Struthio camelus: one gene and its partner. The protein of the gene in region 1 purifies or fractionates together with the protein of each later gene. This does not show direct contact. Links are inferred from orthologs where the notes say so. Each region holds a gene or a part of one and is shown on either strand. Other genes may lie near its edges. The genes, in order: ANKRD28 and PPP6R2.

Region 1 (8,072 bases):
TGAAACGTACATATAGGCTTTGCTTTGCCTTCTACATAAAAGCACTAAAACAGAAGCTCTTGAATTAGCAAAGGTCTAAAGTGATTAGTACAGTAGAAAGCTGTATTAAAATGAAATGAATTTTGTATTCAAAGCCAAAGACATTTGTTCTTACCTGAAAATTAACATCTTCTTTCTTAAATATTAGTGCTCGAACTTCATCAGGATCTCCATTAAATATAGCTTGAACCAAAGGTGGCTGAAAGGAAGAAGAAAAAAAAAAAAGGAACACATCTTAGAGTATAATTCCATTTTACTTTGTGTCGACACATGCATGGTTTTTGGATACATAACACACAAACACCAAACAAGGACAAAAGAGAACATCCCAGGCAGTGAAATGAAAAATGAGAAACAACCGAACTGAAAGATTTCCAAGTTTTAAAAACCTCCAACACACCAACATACTCAGGTCATTGCCCCAACCACAGAAAGGCTGGAACGCTAGCTATAAGGGCTGAAAAGAGAAATCCTTATAATACAATTAAGGCTTAAAATAAAGTGAGCTTGTTAACACGTACTGTGGATTCTATAAAATATATGTAAACAAATCCCTTTTACGTTAGCAAGTGACTAAAGTTATTAGAAATTTTCACCTGTTTGGTTACAGAGTAAGAAAGCAAAGTGCTGATATCAGATAAGTATGGTAACAAATTCACACTCACACACACGTATTACTAAATATAGTAGGATTTCTTAGTAAGTAAGAAAAGCTGCTGAGATACGCTCGCACGATTTTAGTCAGGCACTTGACAAAGTAAAATCATTTAAAGAAATTAAAGGCGCTGCACCCACAGTGTCGACCGTGTCTAGGAAGCAACAACCTGAATCTAAGTTAGGTCTATATGATGACCTCTGCCCTTTTTTCATTTTAGCTTATAACTGCTGTTGCTTCATGTACACAATCTACTGTATCAGTTCTCAAAATAAACACAACAAATGATGGCGATATAACGATTACCTCAGTTTCTAAACTGGTACTGCACAAATACACCATTGAGGAACGGGGAGAGAAGTGAGGGGAGAAACATTTACTTCAGCCACAGTTTTACCAGGCCCTCTAGAAATCGTTTGCTACTATGCAGGAGTTGAGATTTGTTATTGCTGCACCACAAGTAAAGTCACATGCAAAGGAAGGAGCCCCTGCAAATATTAATTCTACAACTAAGCTTCAACTTTTCCCCCACTGTTCAGCGTGGGCAGTTTTTACCCTCTCCCCTCTGGTTTCAACATCAGGCGTATTCATGTCAGCCTTATGACAATTACTAGTGGCACTTGCAACCGCAGCATGAACAGGAAATATGCCAACAGACGACATGCCTTACCAGCGCGTTTCCAGAGGGCGACGGGCGTAAAGATATATTTTCCTGAGGTATTTTGGAAATAAACGTGGGAGAATCATCTTCCACCTCCTCCAAAACAACAATACAGACTCGACTCATTCGATCCGTTTGAGGAAGGAAAAGCAAACGAAAAAATGCCGGCAACTATATTTCTGGAAGCCCACTGTCGGTAGCACAACACGGAGCATACAGGAAATACTTTCACCTCTTTCACGTACCCTCACAAACTTGCAAGTGCTACTGCCGGTGTATTAACATTTAAAAAAGAACACTCCAGTCCGTCCTTGCACTTCATTGTTCAGATTTAAACACCCTGAGACGTTCATGACAATGGTTAAAAAAAAAAAGTTGTTCTTTTTTTTTTTTTTAAATAAAATTTCACTCCGCATCAAGACCGCAACAGTGAAACTGTGGAACAAGCTGATAAAAATATCTCCAGATCCAATTCAATCGGAACAGAATGCACCGCCTCAAATAGCTGTCCTTTCACCAGCAAATTTGTCTTTGCTAATGCCGCCACTTGAGCGGCGCAGCGTTAGGCGCACAGTGCAGCCATTGTTGCGGGCGGCGTGACACCAGCCTGTGCAGCCTGCAGCAGGGAACAATTGCCCTGACGGGGACGGCCGCAGCTAGACCCGAGCCTGCAAGGTCACTGACAAATGAACAGCAGCCGCCTTGCTGGTGACTGAAAATAACACCGGTTCTAGTCACCCTGTAATTCTACAGCTTCAGTTGTCAATGTCAAAAACAGTCCATCTGAAAAACGCATCTGCTTCTCAGCACTTATTCAGAACATGGTCAGAGGATGATAATTCTTTCCCATGCAATAAAAATATCTGCAATGTACAGCACGGCTGCAGCACATTTACATGCGATGAGTCAGACCACAGGGACAATGGAACTCCTTGAATAACATTGCCTGTTTAATCCAGATTCCCCAAATGACAGCCACGAAGACAGCTTTACTCCATCAGTGACACAAGCAACGCAGAGTGTTCGGTTCTCCTTCAGCAGGCAAGAGCTGTGGCTTCTCCATCAGGGACTGCGTTAGGCAGAACGAACGCTTCAGCAAAACAAGCTAGCTACCACGGCACAAAAGCTCAGATTACTGCCTGAGACGACTTCTGCAAAAGCAGTTCATCACTCAAGTGTTTCTTTTGATCACCATGTGAATACAGTTCCCATGATAGTCTTCATTCAGATTGAGGGGGAGAGGAAGGAGGGAAAGAGGAAAAAAAAAAGGAAGGAGGAAAAAAAAAAAAATCAGACTCCGTGCATCTTCTCTGAGCCAACTTCTTTATTCAAACATCTGTCACTGTGCCAACCTGATTCTCCTCTTCAGTTAAAGGTTCCGCTTATCAATTTTTCCTTGACAGATTAAATGATGTGATCAGCAGATAAGTCTTGCAAAGCTTAAGAAGAAGAAGAAAAAAAGCCTGTCTGAATCGGTCATTAGGAGACCGGAGGAGCGGAGCACAAGCCACAGCCACAGCAGCTTTCCAACTGAGCAGGAGCCGACAGCGCACAGACTGCAGGCTCGCAGGATGAAACGCCTAGTAATGCTCACATGTCACACTTACCCGAGAACTGAGCTACCGCGCGCAATGCAACTTCCTCCAGGGAAAAAGAAAAAAAAAGAAACAAAAAAGCGCCCTTTGGGCAGTCTCTGCAGAGGCAATGTTTGTGCCAGTTCCGTGACTAATTCATCTCAAAACGTAAAAATTCTATAACTGAAGAAAGAGCGACTGTTTAATATTTTCCACTAAAAGCCACAAAGAAATCTGGTGTACTGGCTCTGCTGACTAACAACAATTTAGGCGGTAAACAATTCCAGCATTTTAACTGCTTTCATATGGCACTGGCCGGAGCAGCAAAACAATCCTTGCTTAACTCCTTGAAGACAAGAAACTCCCCACAGAAGTCTTCTGAAAATGAAATGAAAGTAAAATCTCTCTTAAAAGTAATCAGTTGACTATTAAAAGCTAGTCATTAATGACCAAACCCATGTTTTGTTGCAACTAGTAGACACCAACAGACCCTCAGCCTGAAAGAAGAATTACATCAAGTATAATTTGAATAAAATAAAGTCCTACAACTTGCTGAATACATATTTCAGCTTGAATCTACTTAAACAGTGCTGGTTTGTGGGTGTATTATGTAAATGAATCCTGTCAGAGTTGCTGGAAATGCTTCAGCGTTACATGAACAGAGGGAGGGCTTCTTGTTCATCCTGCGCAGCGTGGAGGTACTTCTGCTAACGTCCTTTAGCAGCTGATAGGAGCATAATTTGTCAATGGTGAACAAGTTGAAGAATTTTATAACTCTTCCACAAAACACTCTCACTCAAGTTTCACATATTCATCCAGGCAGAGAGAAAGACTTAAAGGGTATATTAAATGGCTTGGATATTAATAGACAAACTGAATTCCCATCTTTGGAGGCCCAGTGAAAGGAAAAGCTCACATCACCTCTATTTTAAAATAATGTCTGCAATAGCTTCACTGCAACATAATACATTCTTTTAAAAAAAAAAAAAAAAACAACTACTGACACTTCCTGCAGATAACACTTTTGCACTTACAAAAACCCTATATTACGTAGCCTAAGACTGCCTGAGCTTAGGGTCGCTGGCCTGGCAGAACGCAGCACAAGCTTCGGTTTCACTGTGAAACTTCTGGTAAGGTTCAGCTTTCCCAAATGCTCCGATTTACAGCATGTGAGTAACACACATCTTCATGAATGTACCTCATTCATCACTATATATATATATAGAGTCCGGTTGTTTTATAATTTCATACTTTTGGTCTTAATTAAGAAAAAGCAATGGTTGGTACCCTACACTGCATTATTCTGGCACTTCAACAATTTATTAAAAAGAAATGATACGTTCATATGAGTACCTCTAAACGTCCTTCCTGGTCGCAATAAAAGTACAATTAATTTAAATAAAAACCAGGACATCCTCCAGGCGCATCTACTGCACCATCCTACTGCGTGCAAAGGAACACAGCAACCACAATCCATAGAGAATTTTTAGTTTTTTTTATTTGTGAAAAACACCCTAAGGAATTGACACTCTTGTTCACTTGCATAACTAAACATTATTATGAAAAAAAATAATCACATCTTAAGTCTATAAGCAAAGTAGACTTACAAAGTGTAAACATGTTTTTCACGCTATCTTTGTATATACACACACACGTACGTTAGTTAGATAATGGTAGTCTAGCGGAGTCCATATGTTAAGTAGAAATGAGCACTTTTTCAGAGCCAGTAAGTTTATACAGCAAGCAAACATTAAGAGTTCCAGACTTTACTTTGAATTAGCATTACATAGCAACAAGTCTAGTTACATAATGCTCAGTTTAGTTTAATTTCACATATCTGAAACTTGTCCATTTTTGATCCTTGCAATTCATGATCGAAATACATTTAAAAATTACAGAACTTCTGAATTTTCACAGTGAAATAAGTGTGAAGAGTTAAGAACATCTGAATCTACTCCAATTATTATTCTAGATATCTTACCTATAAATAAAATACATATAAACTATTTCCATAAGCAAGTTGACATCTTCAATCTTGTATGTTACATTTTTAAATGGTCACATTTCTATAGGCAAAAAGTGTTAAAAGCCAGTATGCCACAGCTTACATTAAAAAGAGAGCTAGCACAATTAAATCAATATTATATTGACCTTGATAGCATTCTGAACCATGTATGTTAGTAGAAGACATTAAAAAAAAAAAAAAATTACTCACACTACAAGTGTGCCATTTAATTACTTTCACACCCAAAGGACAATCTAATTTTAGAAACATTGAACTTTTTAACTTACAATTAACTCGTGCTTGCTATTTTAATACTCTTAAAATATACAATATGGTTTGGGAGTGAACACCTAAATTTACTGACCTACTGCATACTAAACCAGGTTATTTTGCATGCTTAAAAGAACAATCTTCTTCCCTCCCCACCCCCAATTGAAAGTAGTGTCTTCAAGTCAATAAAAATATTGTCATATTGTCTCTAATCATCTCTTTTTTTCAACTTCAAAAAACAGTCCAAGGTCTCCTTTGATTTGCAAAATACAAGCTGTTAATAGCTACTCTGAAAGCCAAAAGCTTACGTTCACAATTTCACTGAAGGAAAGCAAACTAAGGTTTCTGTTTTTCCAGCAGATTATCTGAGAACTAATAACTTTCAGTGAGGGAGAAAAGATAATAGCAGCAGAGAAGGAAGGCAATCTACGTTCAGGAGAATTAACTGAAGTACCCTCTTCCCAAACTAATTTTTTAAATGACAGAGCCTCACAAAGTTATGAAGACAGAATACTGCATCTCTCGAAACATACTTTTCAGTTTATCTTAGTAACATTTAAAACAACTGAAGATCAGCTGGTCATCAGCATCTATCATCTATAAAGCCTTCAAAGGCCTTTCCAGATTAAATTCTACATATCTGATATTAAAAAGCTTCTTAAAGGAGTAGTAGGAAAGATGAGTCAAGAGTGGCCTAACTTTAGTAATGGAATATCATTTCTATTGGGGTGATCTAACTGAGTCCCTGCAATAGTGAACTGTTAACAAAACAAGATCTCCACACTTAACTCTCAAATTCTAAAGAGGACAACAACGAGACACCGAATAAAGAGAATTTTTAAGCAGACAAAAGTGAGAATGTATATTTGTGAAAAACAGCTTGTGTTGACCAAACTGCTTTTTGCAAATAAAAATATCTTGTCTTTAAATAAATCAAATTCCAAGTGACTTTTGTGGGTGACAATAAAGAGAATACATCAGAAGAGTGCAACCTACAGGTTAAAACATGGATGATGGCAGCATGTCCAGTAACAGAGAGAAAGAACAGAAACTTTTTAGGAGCTAAAAATAGTAACATTTTCTAGAGATCTATCCGTTTCGTCAGGAACTGATGAGCAGAGGACGGAAGCAAGACTGCCAGTGACACTGAAAACCTCACTGAGGCACATTCAATATCAATGATCCTACTCGAATGAAGATTTCTCTCTTGCCAATCAGCTTTTACAAAGTCTTTTCTGGGCTGAGATTAATGCAACTAGTTTCATTCAATATTTTGCATAATCAGGGATCTAGGAAAAGAAGCAAATTCTGCTGTTAGGTTCCAGTAAAAATGAAGCATTTAAAACTGAGCAAAGCTTACCAAAAAAAAATTTAACAGTTTCGCAGCCATGCAAGACAAAGACCCAAGCTATGGATCAACCTGTAACACAAAGATCGTTTATAATAGTTAGGTTATGTCCCAGGATAATCAGATTTTTCTGTAAATTTACTGAAGTTTTACCCATATATACACGTCCCATACAGGGACAGTGTTCAGTGTTCAGCATCATCATGAATATAAGCTACAATACTTCCAGAAGCCTTGTGACTCACTCTTGTGAACTCCTCCTGCTCTTTCCTCTCTGGTCCTGAGGGAACGAGGTGGAGTCAGGAAGAGGAATCATGGAATCAGAGAATCACAGAATGGTTGAGGTTGGAAGGGACCTCTGGAGATCATCTAGTCCAACCCCCCTGCTCAAGCAGGGTCCGCTAGAGCACATTGCCCAGAATCACATCCAGGCGGGTTTTGAATATCTCCAGGGAAGGAGACTCCACATGTTTAAGGCAATAATAAATTATACCTTTATCCCAGTTTTGCTCTATTTATTCCAGATCATATGCACAGCTGGGATACAGGAAAGAAAAAAAGTGTGAGAGAGAGATTAGTCTTAACCTTTGCTCTCTCCACTGTATCTTTTGCTTCCAAGGACAAGCAAAATAGCTTCGCTTGACTCTATCCGACCTAGAGAACTCACGGATACCATAAGTCTAAGGTGGGGGGTGGGAGGGGGGGAGAGATGAATTTTAGTTCTTATTCTCTCACGTGTGTACATAGACTGAAACAATCTACAGAACTATATTAATTCAAACAAAACATGTGATTACATGAAACTGTGGTTAATAAAATCCAGTAACTGAATAGGCATCTCAATAAAATCTGAGATACAAATACCACAAAAAAAAAAGAAGGCATTCATTCTAACCTTTCTGTACTGAAGCAGTATTAAAAAAAAGTACCAGTGCAAAATGCATGTTTGTGTTTGAGATATAAACTTCTTTTGTACATTTTTAATCAAACCTTAACATTTTTAAAAACACTTCAGAAATAGCAATCTAGCAAGTTTCTATTTAAGGCTTTTTGCATATATTATACATTGAGCAATATGCATGGAGAGAACTTCTCCAGTGATCTACAGCATTTTACAACCACCATAACACAAAACAAGTCAACAGTTTTTTTAAAAACACCTTTGACATCCAAAATATGGAGTACAGCAACTTGTCCTATGAGGCAAGGGAAGGAGAAAAAAAAAAAGTGGGGATAGAGAACTGAGCACAGCTGTTCCTAAAAAAAAAAAAAATCAGAAAAAAACAAACATAAAAAGTCCTATTTCTTTAAAGAAAACAGAAATTTGAGCAAACAGCATCTCTCCCCATGATTTTCTAGCCAGCATGTCACCCAAAACAGTCTTCCCTTTTCATTAAGGCTAAATTTTATTTCACTGGCTATGGTTTTCTTTTTGTGCTTTTGCAATGCACAATCCTGTAATCAAAATCAACAGTCTATTCTTACACTAACAGCCCGTACAGAGTAAAAGTCCTCCAGTC
Region 2 (7,889 bases), on another chromosome or scaffold:
ATCCCCAGGGCTGTGACATGTCCCACCAAGCCCTGTCTCCGTCGCGGGGGCTGTGCCCTGTCCTACCATCCCCAGGGCTGTGACATGTCCCACCAAGCCCTGTCCCCGTCCCCGGGGGCTGTGCCCTGTCCTACCATCCCCAGGGCTGTGACATGTCCCACCAAGCCCTGTCCCCATCCCCAGGGCTGTGACCTGCCCTACCATCCCCAGGGCTGTGACATGTCCCACCAAGCCCTGTCCCCGTCCCCGGGGCTGTGCCCTGTCCCACCATCCCCAGGGCTGTGACATGTCCCACCAAGCCCTGTCCCCGTCCCCGGGGGCTGTGCCCTGTCCTACCATCCCCAGGGCTGTGACATGTCCCACCAAGCCCTGTCCCCGTCCCGGGGGCTGTGCCCTGTCCTACCATCCCCAGGGCTGTGACATGTCCCACCAAGCCCTGTCCCCCTCCCCGGGGGCTGTGACCTGTCCCACCATCCCCAGGGCTGTGACATGTCCCACCAAGCCCTGTCCCCGTCCCCGGGGCTGTGCCCTGTCCCACCATCCCCAGGGCTGTGACATGTCCCACCAAGCCCTGTCCCCGTCCTCGGGGGCTGTGCCCTGTCCTACCATCCCCAGGGCTGTGACATGTCCCACCAAGCCCTGTCCCCGTCCCGGGGGCTGTGCCCTGTCCTACCATCCCCAGGGCTGTGACATGTCCCACCAAGCCCTGTCCCCCTCCCCGGGGGCTGTGACCTGTCCCACCATCCCCAGGGCTGTGACATGTCCCACCAAGCCCTGTCCCCGTCCCCGGGGGCTGTGCCCTGTCCCACCATCCCCAGGGCTGTGAGATGTCCCACCAAGCCCTGTCCTACCATCCCCAGGGCTGTGACATGTCCCACCAAGCCCTGTCCCCGTCCCCGGGGGCTGTGCCCTATCCTACCATCCCCAGGGCTGTGACATGTCCCACCAAGCCCTGTCCCCGTCCCCGGGGGCTGTGACCTGTCCCACCATCCCCAGGGCTGTGACATGTCCCACCAAGCCCTGTCCCCGTCCCCGGGGCTGTGACCTGTCCTACCATCCCCAGGGCTGTGACATGTCCCACCAAGCCCTGTCCCCCTCCCCGGGGCTGTGCCCTGTCCCGCCATCCCCAGGGCTGTGACATGTCCCACCAAGCCCTGTCCCCCTCCCCGGGGCTGTGACCTGTCCCGCTATCCCCAGGGCTGTGACATGTCCCACCAAGCCCTGTCCCCGTCCCCGGGGCTGTGCCCTGTCCCACCATCCCCAGGGCTGTGACATTTCCCACCAAGCCCTGTCCCCCTCCCCGGGGGCTGTGCCCTGTCCCACCATCCCCAGGGCTGTGACATGTCCCACCAAGCCCTGTCCCCGTCCCCGGGGGCTGTGACCTGTCCTACCATCCCCAGGGCTGTGACATGTCCCACCAAGCCCTGTCCCCGTCCCGGGGCTGTGACCTGTCCCACCATCCCCAGGGCTGTGACATGTCCCACCAAGCCCTGTCCCCGTCCCCGGGGGCTGTGACCTGTCCCACCATCCCCAGGCTGTGACATGTCCCACCAAGCCCTGTCCCCGTCCCCAGGGGCTGTGACCTGTCCTACCATCCCCAGGGCTGTGACATGTCCCACCAAGCCCTGTCCCCGTCCCCGGGGGCTGTGACCTGTCCCACCATCCCCAGGGCTGTGACATGTCCCACCAAGCCCTGTCCCCGTCCCCGGGGGCTGTGACCTGTCCCACCATCCCCAGGGCTGTGACATGTCCCACCAAGCCCTGTCCTACCATCCCCAGGGCTGTGACATGTCCCACCAAGCCCTGTCCCCATCCCCGGGGGCTGTGACCTGTCCTACCATCCTCAGGGCTGTGACATGTCCCACCAAGCCCTGTCCCCGTCCCCGGGGGCTGTGACCTGTCCCACCATCCCCAGGGCTGTGACATGTCCCACCAAGCCCTGTCCCCGTCCCCGGGGCTGTGCCCTGTCCCACCATCCCCAGGGCTGTGACATGTCCCACCAAGCCCTGTCCCCCTCCCCGGGGCTGTGACCTGTCCCACCATCCCCAGGGCTGTGACATGTCCCACCAAGCCCTGTCCCCCTCCCCGGGGCTGTGACCTGTCCCACCATCCCCAGGGCTGTGACATGTCCCACCAAGCCCTGTCCCTGTCCCCGGGGCTGTGCCCTGTCCCACCATCCCCAGGGCTGTGACATGTCCCACCAAGCCCTGTCCCCGTCCCCGGGGGCTGTGACCTGTCCCACCATCCCCAGGGCTGTGACATGTCCCACCAAGCCCTGTCCCCGTCCCCAGGGGCTGTGACCTGTCCCACCATCCCCAGGGCTGTGACATGTCCCACCAAGCCCTGTCCCCGTCCCGGGGCTGTGCCCTGTCCCACCATCCCCAGGGCTGTGACATGTCCCACCAAGCCCTGTCCCCCTCCCCGGGGGCTGTGACCTGTCCCACCATCCCCAGGGCTGTGACATGTCCCACCAAGCCCTGTCCCCGTCCCCGGGGGCTGTGACCTGTCCCACCATCCCCAGGGCTGTGACATGTCCCACCAAGCCCTGTCCCCGTCCCTGGGGGCTGTGACCTGTCCCACCATCCCCAGGGCTGTGACATGTCCCACCAAGCCCTGTCCCCGTCCCCGGGGCTGTGACCTGTCCCACCATCCCCAGGGCTGTGACATGTCCCACCAAGCCCTGTCCTACCATCCCCAGGGCTGTGACATGTCCCACCAAGCCCTGTCCCCATCCCCGGGGGCTGTGACCTGTCCTACCATCCTCAGGGCTGTGACATGTCCCACCAAGCCCTGTCCCCCTCCCCGGGGGCTGTGACCTGTCCCACCATCCCCAGGGCTGTGACATTTCCCACCAAGCCCTGTCCCCCTCCCCGGGGGCTGTGCCCTGTCCCACCATCCCCAGGGCTGTGACATGTCCCACCAAGCCCTGTCCCCCTCCCCGGGGCTGTGACCTGTCCTACCATCCCCAGGGCTGTGACATGTCCCACCAAGCCCTGTCCCCGTCCCGGGGCTGTGACCTGTCCCACCATCCCCAGGGCTGTGACATGTCCCACCAAGCCCTGTCCCCGTCCCCGGGGGCTGTGACCTGTCCCACCATCCCCAGGCTGTGACATGTCCCACCAAGCCCTGTCCCCGTCCCCAGGGGCTGTGACCTGTCCTACCATCCCCAGGGCTGTGACATGTCCCACCAAGCCCTGTCCCCGTCCCCGGGGGCTGTGACCTGTCCCACCATCCCCAGGGCTGTGACATGTCCCACCAAGCCCTGTCCCCGTCCCCGGGGGCTGTGACCTGTCCCACCATCCCCAGGGTTGTGACATGTCCCACCAAGCCCTGTCCCCGTCCCCGGGGCTGTGACCTGTCCCACCATCCCCAGGGCTGTGACATGTCCCACCAAGCCCTGTCCTACCATCCCCAGGGCTGTGACATGTCCCACCAAGCCCTGTCCCCATCCCCGGGGGCTGTGACCTGTCCTACCATCCTCAGGGCTGTGACATGTCCCACCAAGCCCTGTCCCCGTCCCCGGGGGCTGTGACCTGTCCCACCATCCCCAGGGCTGTGACATGTCCCACCAAGCCCTGTCCCCGTCCCCGGGGGCTGTGACCTGTCCCACCATCCCCAGGGCTGTGACATGTCCCACCAAGCCCTGTCCCCGTCCCCAGGGGCTGTGACCTGTCCTACCATCCCCAGGGCTGTGACATGTCCCACCAAGCCCTGTCCCCGTCCCCGGGGGCTGTGACCTGTCCTACCATCCCCAGGGCTGTGACATGTCCCACCAAGCCCTGTCCCCGTCCCCGGGGCTGTGCCCTGTCCTACCATCCCCAGGGCTGTGACATGTCCCACCAAGCCCTGTCCCCGTCCCCGGGGCTGTGACCTGTCCCTCCATCCCCAGGGCTGTGACATGTCCCACCAAGCCCTGTCCCCGTCCCCGGGGGCTGTGCCCTATCCTACCATCCCCAGGGCTGTGACATGTCCCACCAAGCCCTGTCCCCCTCCCCGGGGCTGTGACCTGTCCCGCCATCCCCAGGACTGTGACATGTCCCACCAAGCCCTGTCCCCGTCCCCGGGGGCTGTGCCCTGTCCCACCATCCCCAGGGCTGTGACATGTCCCACCAAGCCCTGTCCCCCTCCCCGGGGCTGTGACCTGTCCCACCATCCCCAGGGCTGTGACATGTCCCACCAAGCCCTGTCCCCGTCCCCGGGGGCTGTGAGCTGTCTCACCATCCCCAGGGCTGTGACATGTCCCACCAAGCCCTGTCCCCGTCCCCGGGGGCTGTGAGCTGTCTCACCATCCCCAGGGCTGTGACATGTCCCACCAAGCCCTGTCCCCGTCCCCGGGGGCTGTGACCTGTCCCGCCGTCCCCAGGGCTGTGACATGTCCCACCAAGCCCTGTCCCCGTCCCGGGGCTGTGACCTGTCCCACCATCCCCAGGGCTGTGACATGTCCCACCAAGCCCTGTCCTACCATCCCCAGGGCTGTGACATGTCCCACCAAGCCCTGTCCCCCTCCCCGGGGCTGTGACCTGTCCCGCCTTGCCCCGTCCCCGTGGCTGGCTGCTGGCGCCGCCCCCGCCCCGACTCCGCCCCGCCGCCCAGGCCCCGCCCCCGCCCATGTGCCCCCTCGGCCCCGCCCCCCGCCGCGCCCCGCCCTCGGGTAGGCAGGCAGCGCCGCCGCCATTTTGGAGGCAGCCGGAGCGCCCGCCAGCTCGCCGCCGCCTCGCCGCCGCTGTCAGCGCAGCGCAGCCCGGCCGCGGCGCCCCGCGCTCCGCCCGCGGCCCATGCCCTCGGCCCGCCGGCTCTCGCAGCCCAGGCAGCGCACGGCGGCGGCGGCCCCGCCGCCACGGGGACGGCCAGGCCGGACGGCCAGCAGGTGAGACCCGCGGCCGGGCCCGCCGACCGCGCCGCCGCCGAGCTGTCACCGCCGCCGCGGCCCGCGCCGCCGCGGCCCTCCGGGGCCGGAGCCGGGGCGCTCGGCGCGGCCTGCTCCGCTCCACCGGCCGCTTCCTGCTTCCTGCGGCGCGGCGCGGCGCTGGGCCCGGCGCGGAGGCGGTGCGCGGCCTGCCGCCCTGTCAGCGCCGCCGCCGGCCCGGGCCCCGCGGAGCCGCCCGGCCCCGGAGCGCTGCCTGGGCTGGAGGCCGTGTCCGGCTGCGCCTGCTCCGCGTTTTTACTGTATTTATTTGTTTTTGGTCCGGGCGGTGCTGGTCGCCCGGGCCCCTCTTCTTGATTCCGCCTTCGCCGGCCGCTGCGCTGGCCCCTTCCCCGCGCCCTGCCGAAGTTCCCGGGCGTCGCTTGGTGCCGCCTCTGGGGTGAACGGCCCCCGAGGTCGCCCCCCCCCCCCCCCCCCCCCCGGAGCGCGGGGCCCGTCAGGAGTTCGCCGCTGAGCGGGTGCGGTCGGCTGAGGGGGCGCAGCGGCTTCGCCCGTTCCGCGGCCCGCGCGCGGCCGCCGCTTGGCAGCACCCGCGGGGCGGCGGCGGCGCCGCGCACCTGAGCCCAGGGGCCCCGCGGGCTCCGGCCCGGGCGGTCGGTGGAAATAAGGGTCCTGGGCTGGTGGTATTAACGCGCGGAAACTGTGGTAGGAGCTGTAGCCGCAGATCGAATTACTGCGGCACATGATCTTACAGGAAGGCTTTTTCTTGGCCGCTTTAATGGAGGTTTCTTTCCTAATTTGAAGGCCTTGTTTTGTGCTAGCTTTAGAAAAAAACAAAAAACCCCAAAAAACTAGGAAGTGAAAAAGAGAAATTGAGAGAACTTGGAAGGACTTGAGGTATTTTTCCTATCTTGATCTCCTGCTTAAGACTTATTTTTAAGACTGAAGCTTGTTTCCATAGTGTAGTTTATTTTCCCCATCAAAAACATAGAACAGAGTTGTAATTTTTAGACTCAGTCCTGTTATGAGCTACACATGTGTTTGAAGCCAAGCATGTAATCACTAGCTAGCAGACTTTTTTTGATAGAACACTGCTTTAAGAATGACAAGGGAGTAAACATTTATGACTTCTGCTATTACTCTGTCACTTAAAAATATTTTGGCAAACTAGTTACTTTTGGTGGTTTAAAAAAAAAATCCAACAGCTGATAGTATAACAATTTCCATAGCAACTGAGGGTGATAGCATGGTAAGGAAAGTTAAATTTTGGAATATGCAATAGGAACAGATCATGATCTGTACTAGCTTAAGTGGTCCCAGTAAAGACTTGCTCAGGAGAAGGTGAGTGAAGATTGGACATGAAAAAATTGCTTGAAATTGAGAACTTACTTTGTTTTCATGTATTTGACGTGCATATACTTCTGGTGACTTTTATACTTTCTTTGTCTTAAGTTGCAAATTCTGGGACCTAGGACAGTGTCTGATCTAGGAACTGTGGGAATTTGGAGGCACTGCAGAAGCCTTTTGGGAAAAGCTCAGTCTGCAGCAGAATGGTATCAGAGGTGTGGTACAGAAAACAAGTGCTGAGGTTTTGCGAGATTCCTACAGATTTGAAACTTTGAAAAAGTGACTGATGTCGACCGCTTGTTTAGGGGATGGGAGGGAGCACTGAAGCGTCTTCGTTCTTTACCCAATGTTTGATGAATTTATAGTTGTTTGTGGAAGGGACAGGTTGAATTTGTAAGTTCATGGTTGAGAAATGGGAGGATATTGAATCAAAGTGAATAATAAAGAGAAAACTATGATTAAAAATTTACAGTGTTTTTATTCTAACGGTATTCAAGCTTGCTTGTTCTGTGGGCCTAAATTATTTTTAGAAAACTACAGGCTGTTGTCACTAGTGGCATAGGCTGTTAGATGCAGTGCTGCCTTGGGAGGAAAGCTCAAAAACCCTTGCAAGTTGCCTTTTGAAAAGGGGTACCAGGAGAGCTGTTAAGGATAGACAGCCCTTCTGTCTGTGTTTCCCCCTGCCACTTGTGACTCATACTTCATTGGTCATATGGGGAGTCAGCTGGAATGAATTAAATTCTTGCTATCCCCAGTTAGTACAGTCCTGAGCTAGAAGAAGGAATCACTTAGCTGTGTTTCTCTCCTTCCTCCGTAAGGAGACATCCCAGGCTAACTGGCCATATTTTTCCATCCTCCATGGAAGGAGCACTTCCTTCCATATTTTCCCCTGAGTTTTATTGGCCATCAGCTAAAGTGTCAAAAGAGAAACCAAAACTGTTTCCTCCCCTGCCCGCCCCCCCCTCCCCCCCCCAATGCAGTAGGGGATTAGTAGTACCAAACTTCAGTGAAGAAAGGTAATGCATCTGAACAGAGTTGGGCAGGGGAGGAGGTAGGGAAGATGAGCTTTCTTCTTTTCTGTCTCTGCTAATAAGATTTGTAGACCTGTGAGGGTAGAAACTGCTGATTATATGTTAGGGAAAATAGCTTCACACACACACAATCAAGTAGTACGTTTTTTTAACACTGCGGCTTGGAGACTAAAGTGTTAGTGCCTGAAGGGCAGTAACTAGAACAGTGTAATAAGGGCAGCCATAAAAAATGGGTGAACTGGAATGCCAAGAAATAGAAGAGTATCTTGTTATAGTAAACACTTCTGAAACAATAGTAGAATGACAAGAATAACTGGGAAACTTGGATATAAATGGTGCAGGAAAACTAGAGGAGGTCAAGTTGAGAGTAAATCAAGAGCTAAGTAGTTGATGGAATCTTTTGAGAACTTTGAGGTATACTTGTAGGAATTCTTGTTGTTTTGCTAGACCTTAACCCTGCTCTTCTCAATCAGTTTTTCAGTTTTCTTGAATTAATAATCTGTATTAATGAAAGATATCAGCTCTCATCTAAGTGGTTACTCTAGATTTGTGGCTCCATATTTAATGGTCTTCTATCCCTTTTTACAGGGTAACACAATTCTGTTCTTAATTTTGTTTTGTAGATGGGAGAATCAGTTCAACTATGC

Evidence for each region.
Region 2: the proteins of ANKRD28 (region 1) and PPP6R2 purify together in Homo sapiens (co-immunoprecipitation; 4 studies listed by BioGRID and IntAct, counting the BioPlex papers as one, with this or other methods). This does not show direct contact. The link is inferred for Struthio camelus from reciprocal best matches to the Homo sapiens genes ANKRD28 and PPP6R2.

The regions. Positions count from the first base shown.
Region 1 is NC_090943.1:40,772,084-40,780,155, forward strand, and holds the start of ANKRD28 (serine/threonine-protein phosphatase 6 regulatory ankyrin repeat subunit A), read right to left. Parts: upstream 3,171-8,072; 5' UTR 1,482-3,170; coding exon 1,365-1,481; intron 239-1,364; coding exon 155-238; intron 1-154. UniProt on the Homo sapiens protein: Regulatory subunit of protein phosphatase 6 (PP6) that may be involved in the recognition of phosphoprotein substrates. Involved in the PP6-mediated dephosphorylation of NFKBIE opposing its degradation in response to TNF-alpha.
Region 2 is NC_090942.1:1,008,090-1,015,978, reverse strand, and holds the start of PPP6R2 (serine/threonine-protein phosphatase 6 regulatory subunit 2), read left to right. Parts: upstream 1-4,713; 5' UTR 4,714-4,867; intron 4,868-7,889. UniProt on the Homo sapiens protein: Regulatory subunit of protein phosphatase 6 (PP6). May function as a scaffolding PP6 subunit. Involved in the PP6-mediated dephosphorylation of NFKBIE opposing its degradation in response to TNF-alpha.